2 linked regions of the Rattus norvegicus genome follow. The protein of the gene in region 2 purifies or fractionates together with the protein of the main gene of each other region. This does not show direct contact. Links are inferred from orthologs where the notes say so. Each region holds a gene or a part of one and is shown on either strand. Other genes may lie near its edges. The genes, in order: Larp1 and Nfx1.

The links.
Region 1: the proteins of Nfx1 (region 2) and Larp1 purify together in Homo sapiens (affinity purification with mass spectrometry, with the first as the bait; 3 studies listed by BioGRID). This does not show direct contact. The link is inferred for Rattus norvegicus from reciprocal best matches to the Homo sapiens genes NFX1 and LARP1.

Annotation. Positions count from the first base shown.
Region 1 is NC_086028.1:42,722,689-42,726,503, reverse strand, and holds part of Larp1 (la-related protein 1), read right to left. Parts: intron 1,845-3,815; coding exon 1,783-1,844; intron 1,564-1,782; coding exon 1,498-1,563; intron 696-1,497; coding exon 521-695; intron 1-520. UniProt on the Homo sapiens protein: RNA-binding protein that regulates the translation of specific target mRNA species downstream of the mTORC1 complex, in function of growth signals and nutrient availability.
Region 2 is NC_086023.1:60,914,689-60,918,503, forward strand, and holds part of Nfx1 (transcriptional repressor NF-X1), read left to right. Parts: coding exon 1-62; intron 63-1,870; coding exon 1,871-1,976; intron 1,977-3,815. UniProt on the Homo sapiens protein: Binds to the X-box motif of MHC class II genes and represses their expression. May play an important role in regulating the duration of an inflammatory response by limiting the period in which MHC class II molecules are induced by interferon-gamma.

The sequences.
Region 1 (3,815 bases), on a different chromosome or scaffold from region 2:
ACCCATCTGGTAGCCATAGGCATGTCCTTTTCAAACACCAGACCTCTTTTTTGTTGTTATAAATCTCTAAAATAAGGAGATCAGAGGTTCCAGATGTAAGAATCACTTTCTGGAAACCTGAATAAAAACTAACTTTCTAGGCTCCCTTCACACATGTGACACATCACTGCCTGTGACAACCTTGTGGGGCCATTCTAGGTGGAGTGAGCAGGAACAAGGGAGCCACCTTGGATGGAGAGGCTGCTGTGCTTAATGAGTTAAGAGTTGCCACCTCAAGCCTGGCCTGCAGACACAGAATAGGTCTCGGAGAGAAAGCAGTCAAGCCTGTATCATTTCAACAGGTTTAAGAAACTCTTAGAGCAATATAAAAGCCCGTATAAGAGAAGATGCACTAAGGCTGAGCAAAAGCTGCTCCAAGCAGTCAGTCACCCCCTGGCCTGAAGTTCCTCCAGCAGGTCAGGCTTATGTCATTTCAAAGTTCTGAAAGGTACACCTCCCGGGTCCTGGCCAAGCCACTTACCTTTCTTCTTCTGCCCGCCTCGCTGGCAGTCCTCATCCCCATTCTTTTCCTCCCCCGATTCATCCGACTTTGTTTTTGGGCTCTCCTTACTATCACTTCCATCTCCTTTCTCCTGCTCCTTCATGTCCTTCTTGGGTGGCAGCTTACGGGCAGGCTGAGGCTTGTGGGACTGTGGCTACAAGAGGCAAGGAAACATGTGGTCACTGGGGAAGTATAAGGACAGGCTACACTAGATACATCCTAAGGTCTAGCTTTCATACTCAGACAACACCACTACAAAACACGACCATACCAGCTATGGAAGAACAACTGATTGTTCTAGCTACCCAAATCTGTGGGATAGAAAAGATGCTGGCCTGTCTGTACCAAAACCTCTACCATAAGGGACCCACTGGGGCAGTCACTAGCTCAGAACAAAAGTGATGAGTGGAACTGAACTGACCAAGAAAGAGTCTCTTCTGCTAGAATCTAGGGGAGCTAAGTATACCTCCCCAAACTGGAGTCAGTGCCTCAACTGATACCTCTTTTTTCAATTACTCATAGAAAAATGTGGCTCAGTAATGGAAAAATATGGGCTTTGGAAAACTGTAACACAGTTGTTTCCTAAACCCGCTGAGCCACCACTGGAAGGCAAAAAAGAACAGTGCCTGGCACCCCTGAAACCAGGCAAAGGCTCACATGATGGTAATTCCTAATTATTTCATTCCTGTCCATCTTAAATAACTACTCTTCATTTGTTGAGAATTGAAGGGGGTTGGGAGTCCTATGTCTCAAAGGATGGCCTTGAACTCTTGGACTGAGTATAGTCATCCTTCTTTATCCTTTTGAGTAGCTGGGATTTCAGAAGTATACATACTATTGTGCTCACCGACCACTCCTTTTCAAAAATCAAGAAAGGTGGTGTTTATGGCTCTTGGTCAAAAACCAACTAAGTCAGTATGAAGAGTACTTGAACCTGCCAACCCCTCCTCACTCACCTGCACACTTTTGTGGGCTATTTCTCCAGGTGTAGGCCAGTTGATTGCATCTCCAAAGTCACCAACCTGCAAGGTATCGTCTATGAAGGCCTTGGGGTTACTCTGCCTGCCATTTTGCTCCACACCCAAGCTCTAGCTCTTTTTAGAGATAGGGACACAACAGTGTGTGCACTCAGACACCATGCAATGGCACCCATAAAGGCTTCCATGCTCTTAGAGAAGGGCCCGAAGTGCTTATGAGAACAAGAATAATGAGCGCCCACAGGGACACTCCCCGGTCTTTACCTTGCTGCCCTTACGCTGTTTGGGAGCAGCTGCCCTCACCACCTTGGCCGGAGCAGAAGGTTCTGTGGGAACAAAGAGAAAGAATCAGCTGTCAGAGCCTATGTCATTACCATGCCCATCCCACCATGCACCTACAGGTTCCCAAAGGAGCCACAGCAGAAAGGGCAACAATATAAACTGGCAGCCTAGCCACCAAGCTGCTCAACACTGAAGTGGGAAAACCCTTAGAGTCTAAGTCTGTATTTTTTATGAGTTATCAACTGAGTCTCAAGGTCCATAACCAAGTCTACACTGTAACTCAGAGCTCCAAATCTATAGGCAAAACCTGTAAGGAGATTGAGTCTTCTGTATACTTCTGCAAGCCCAAAGAAAATAAAGCTAAACATGTGAATGGACACGTCCAGGGCCATACCAAGGCCTGCTGTGTCCTCGCTGACATGTAGTTGAAGTAAGAACTACCTTTTCTGTTCCTAAAGAAAAGGCATACTCCGATTTGACTCTAAAGTTCAATTTTGTGAGACAACATTTCCCAGTGTAGCCCTGACTGGCTTGGAACTTGTCAGCAGATCAGACTGCTGAACTCATAGAGATCTCCCCCCGACACATCCTTTGCCTCCCAAGCATGCCACCATACCTGGCCAGTTTCATCTTTTAGATTGAACCCCAATAATACAAGTGAGACAAGAGCTATACACAATTTCAACTCCAACAGTACTAAAATCACCGAATTTCAATTCATCCACTTTCACAATAGCCATTAGAATATACTGGTCTTTGGTTATGTGGAGATAGACACATAGAAGATGATGACTTCATCTGTTTTCTATAGAACAGAGGAGCGTGTATGTAATCATGCATCTGTGGGGCATATATTTAACTTTTCTACAAAGACGAAGATGGCTTTTAAGGAACAGAGTACGCAAGTCTAGAAGAAGTGGCTCTGGTTAGTTTGGTCCTGAAAACCAAGGGTGTCTTGTCCCTCCTGCCTCTAGAGATCCACGGGAAGAAACACAACCTGAGATTCTGCTCACTCACTTTAGCTTGTACTTCCCTCCTCTGCCATGTCAGGTCAGGAACTACCCTAGCCTCCAAGCACAGAAACCTGGCTGGCTGGCCTCACAAGGTTTTTCAACAGACTATGTCCTTTAATGAGAAGAAAGTGTCCTTGCCCAGTTCCTAAGGGTGAAGCCAATTCATTCCTGGCTTCTGGCCGGTTACTGGAGCCACTGTCCCCTAATGGTGGACATAAGTCTTCTGATAGCTGGAGTTGTTGAGCCCACAGCAACCTCCAGGGCTGAGAAGCAGAAAACTAGAAAATCTCAGGTGCAAGAAAACCACTGTCCTTTGACCCCAGGTTGACCCAGATAAGCCATTGAACATTTAGTAGTTCCTTGACTGGTCTAAAGCTCCTCACACGAGCCGAGCAAGTGTGGTAGTAGATGCCTTTAATGCCAGCACTCAGGTGGCAGAGACAAAGGATCTCTGGAAATCTGAGGACAGCCTAATCTACAAAGTAAGTTCCAGGACACCCAGGGATATACCGACCATCTAACAACTAAACAGATCTTCATCCAATTCAGCCCAGGGCCTGGACAGTGGCCGCCCACCTGAGCTACAACTGGAGTCATTTCTTCATGTGCTCAACAGCATTGGTACATGCTAGCAGGAAAGCAAGCCCCAAAGCTAGTGACAAAGTTTACAACAAGAATTGTATGCACGCTGGGGATTTGGCTCAGTGGTAGAGCACTTGCCTAGCAACCGCAAGGCCCTGGGTTCGGTCCCCAGCTCTGGAAAAAAAAAGAAAGAAAGAAAGAAAGAATTCTATGCACAAGGACTGGAAGTAAGGTATACCGAAAATCATCTCTGAAAAGAGGGCAAAAGTTTCCAGACACTGGTCTTTTCAAGTCTCTTGGTCTGAGTAAAATATACCTTGCCTCGCCAGGAAATGGAGAATCAACTCTCACAAGCTGTCCTCGGATTTCCACAAGCATGCCCTGGTGCTCCCCCCAAAAAACAAACAAAATAAACAAACA
Region 2 (3,815 bases):
GAGGTGCCCCGCTTGTCAGAATGTTTCTGCACATGTTCCCAGTACCTACACTTGTTTCTGTGGTAAGTAAGTTTGTGTCTGCAGTGTGGCACTCACCTCAGTGAGAGGTTATTGAGAAGACTTGAGAGTTATAAGAGGATGTTCTGTTGTCCTGTGTATTGTGTCCCAGGTGGGTTCGTAGGCCTGGGTGCTGCAACAGCTTTGACATTGTAGATCTAAGCAGCACGAGTAAAGCAGTGCTTAATAAGAAATGAACTGTGTAACTTCATAATGGAGAGCTTTTCTAGGAATTGGTAACACAAACTATCCTTGTATTCCCTCTCTGTGCACTAGTTTTTCCTGGTTTTGTTTTCAGACAGGGTCTCACTATGTTAGCCCTGGCTGGCCTGGAACTTACTATGCAAACCAGGCTAGACTTGAACTCAGAGGTCTGCCTGCTGGGATTAAAGATATGCCACCCTGTCTAGCCACTTTTCCTGATCTTTAATAGCATCAGTTTTCTTTGGTCCAGATGAATTCCTACTGCTAGCTGTATGTCTTTTTTCTCCTTATAGTGATTAATCTAGTTGATTTAATTCCTGACGGTTTGTTTCTCCCTTTGAACCATTAGGTTTTTGCATCTGCCTTTGTTATCTCACTGAAACTGTATTCAAAACTCATCAGTCACAGTGCCATATAGGCTTATGTAATTAACTTTTTGGCAGATGACTCCCTTGACACTTTTGACCATTGTTTTCATAAAGAAGAAAAATTAGCCTGTTCTATTTCTTTTTGTATACTGTCTTTATTGTCCTAACCAGCTTGCTTATAGTCCTCTTTTTTTTCCCCCTCACAATGGCTGGTTGCTACTCAATAACTTAATTCCTTCACTAGCAAACATGTTCTGCATCCCCACCCTTTTTGTGGTGCTGGGCTCAATCCCAGGGCCTCCTGAAAGCTAGGTAAGCACTCTACCACTCCCCCTTCATTATGTCTTCATTTAACTCTCTCACTTCCAAGTGCTGTTTTTCCCCAAAGGAAGCTCCTTTTGTTAGTCCTTCTCACTTTAGCTTCTCTTTATGTGAAATCTGCTGTTTCTATATGATTTGTTACCAAAATCTGAGTTCAGAATATTAAATCGATATTAGTAAAGGGTATGAATATTCTTGATTGAGTATCATACTAGGAAGATAATGTAAATTAGATATGATGTCACTGGCAAGTCAGGCAGATAAAATTATAGCAAACCTCAATTATATTAAGGGATATATATTTATTTTTGCTTTTCTGAGATAGCATTTCACTCTGAGACCCAAGCTTAGAGAGGTGTCCATGAAGATTTATATAGACATTGACAATGAAAGTTCAGCCCTTTTATGCCTACTGGGAAGCTTCAGAGCCAGGCTCCTCTGTGGGATTTCTCTCTGTCCATCCCACAGCCTCTTCCTGGTTCAGTCCCTTTCTTTTTCCACCCCGTGAGCTCCCCGCAGTGCTGGAGCAGACCCCAGAGCATGTTAAGACATGCCCTACCACTGAGCTGTGCCCTGGCACTCTTCCTTTCTTTCCTTCTGGTCATCATCACAGACACTTGTCAGTTTAAGAAGATTTATCAATGGCTTATCTAGTAAATATCTCAAAAAATAGATTATGTTCAGTAGTACAAAATGTCATTTTCACTGGTAAAAGTTGCTTATCTTTTTCACCGTGCTCAGTAGGTTGTAGGCTAAGTGGCGTTACAGCCAGCTTTGCTTCAGAGTGTACAACAGACAGCAGATGCCGTCCTGCTGAGAGCAGTGCACAGGCTTCAGTTTCACATCGCCTAGCCGTTTCATAGACGTTGAGGGTGTGGTTGGAATTTATAGCATTGACTCTCCCATTTGATTTGTCATAGGCAAAGTAAAGAACCCTGAATGGAGCAGAAATGAAATTCCGCACAGTTGTGGTGAAGTTTGTAGAAAGAAACAGCCTGGCCAGGACTGTCCACATTCCTGTAATCTGTAAGTTGGGAAAGCAGACTTCTGGGGATTCCCTAGAAGGGCTTTGCTAGTGGCTTTGAGCGTGCATACTGTTGTCATGTAACAGGAAGGGGAAAGAGTGATGCGAACCGTTCGCTGAGCAGACACCCTACTAAGTAGTGAAATCCTTCCCACAGCCCAGTGCTGTCTGTAGGTATGATGGTTTCCACTTCACAGATGAGGCTCAGAAAGAATGCGAGGATGTGATAAAGTTGTGTATCAAAGCCAACAATCCTGCTGTTTTACACTGCTGGTTTTAAGAAAAAAAGTTAAAGGCATTTTTGTAGGACATCCAGGGAAAGGTGTTCATTTGTGCAGCAGCCTGTACGATAGGACTTGGAGGTGTGAAGAATATTTGTTCCTCTTTCTCACAAATTCGGTATTTGCCGTCATTTAGAATGTCCCTCCTCAGGATACAAACTGCAGGCAGACACATGTAAGCTGGGACTTGAACCCAGGTCTCCTGGAAGAGCAGCAAATGCTCTTAATTACCAACCCATCTCCAGCCTGTGGAGGGAGGATAAGAGAAGGCTCTGTGTGTGTGTGTGTGTGTGTGTGTGTGTGTGTGTGTGTGTGTGAGTGTGTGTGTGTGTGTGTGTGTGTGTGTGTGTGTGTGTGTGTGTGTGTGTTGAACATCATCAGAAATACATGATACCCGTGTGTGGAGCAGTCGTTTAAAGATCCATCATCCTGTGGAAGCCAGAGGAGCATTCATGCAGTCATACTGTGCTTCCACCTTTACATGGGCTCTAGAAATGAAAGGCAGCGGGTTAGCAGACTCGGAGTGGGCACCTTGCTAAGCCCTGTCTTACTTTGTTCTGTGTTTTGAGATGGGGTTTCATGCTATAGCCCTAGCTGCTGTCAGCCACTCTGTTATCCTCAGACCTCAGCTTCCTCGGTGCTGGTTGTGAGCTGCTGTTCTCAGCAGAAATCACCCCTCCACAATTTGTAATATCCCAGAAATAGGGTTAAGTGAGATGACTTATGGGTAAGGTGCTTGCTGCCAACACTGGGATCTACATGGTGAATGAAGAGAACTGACTCTCCCAAACACACACACACACACACACACACACACACACACACACACACACACACACACACAATAATTTTTTCTTAACTTCCAAAAATATTTTTGTTCAGTAGAATTTCTTAACCAGTCTATAATTGACAGTTTTCCATGAAGGCAATATTTACCTGAAATACTAAAATTTAATTTTTTTTTTCTTGTTCTAGCTTCTATACAGCATTCTGTCAGATGTCTAGTTCTAGTAGAGACATCACTAAGCTCAGTTTTCCCACAGCCTCTTGCCCCTGTGTTGGAATTATACACCACTCATCTGCCCCCGTGGCTTACTGGCATACTGTCCCTGTGCTTGCCATCTTTGCACTGTAACCGTGTTCAGCCCAGGGCCTGGTTGTCTGTACTTCTCATGGTCTTGGTAGATGTGAGCACTGTGGGTCCATCCCTTCCTGTGAACCTTCTTCCCTCCCCCTCTCCCTCCTTCCCTCCCTCCCTCCCTCCTTCCCTTCTTTCTTCTCTCCCTCCCTTCCTCCTTCCCTCCTTTCCTTCCTCCTTCCCTCCCTTTCTCCCTTCCTTCTTCCCTCCCTCCCTTCTGAGACTCCTACCCAGGGTCTTCCACAAGTCACTAAGTGCTGTCCTACTAAGAGGTACACACATACCAAGTTGGACCGAGGCCATATATTTTCATGAGTCATCTTTATCAAATTCAAACAAAACCAATATTTTTTTTTTTTTTTTTGGTTCTTTTTTTCGGAGCTGGGGACCGAACCCAGGGCCTTGCGCTTCCTAGGTAAGCG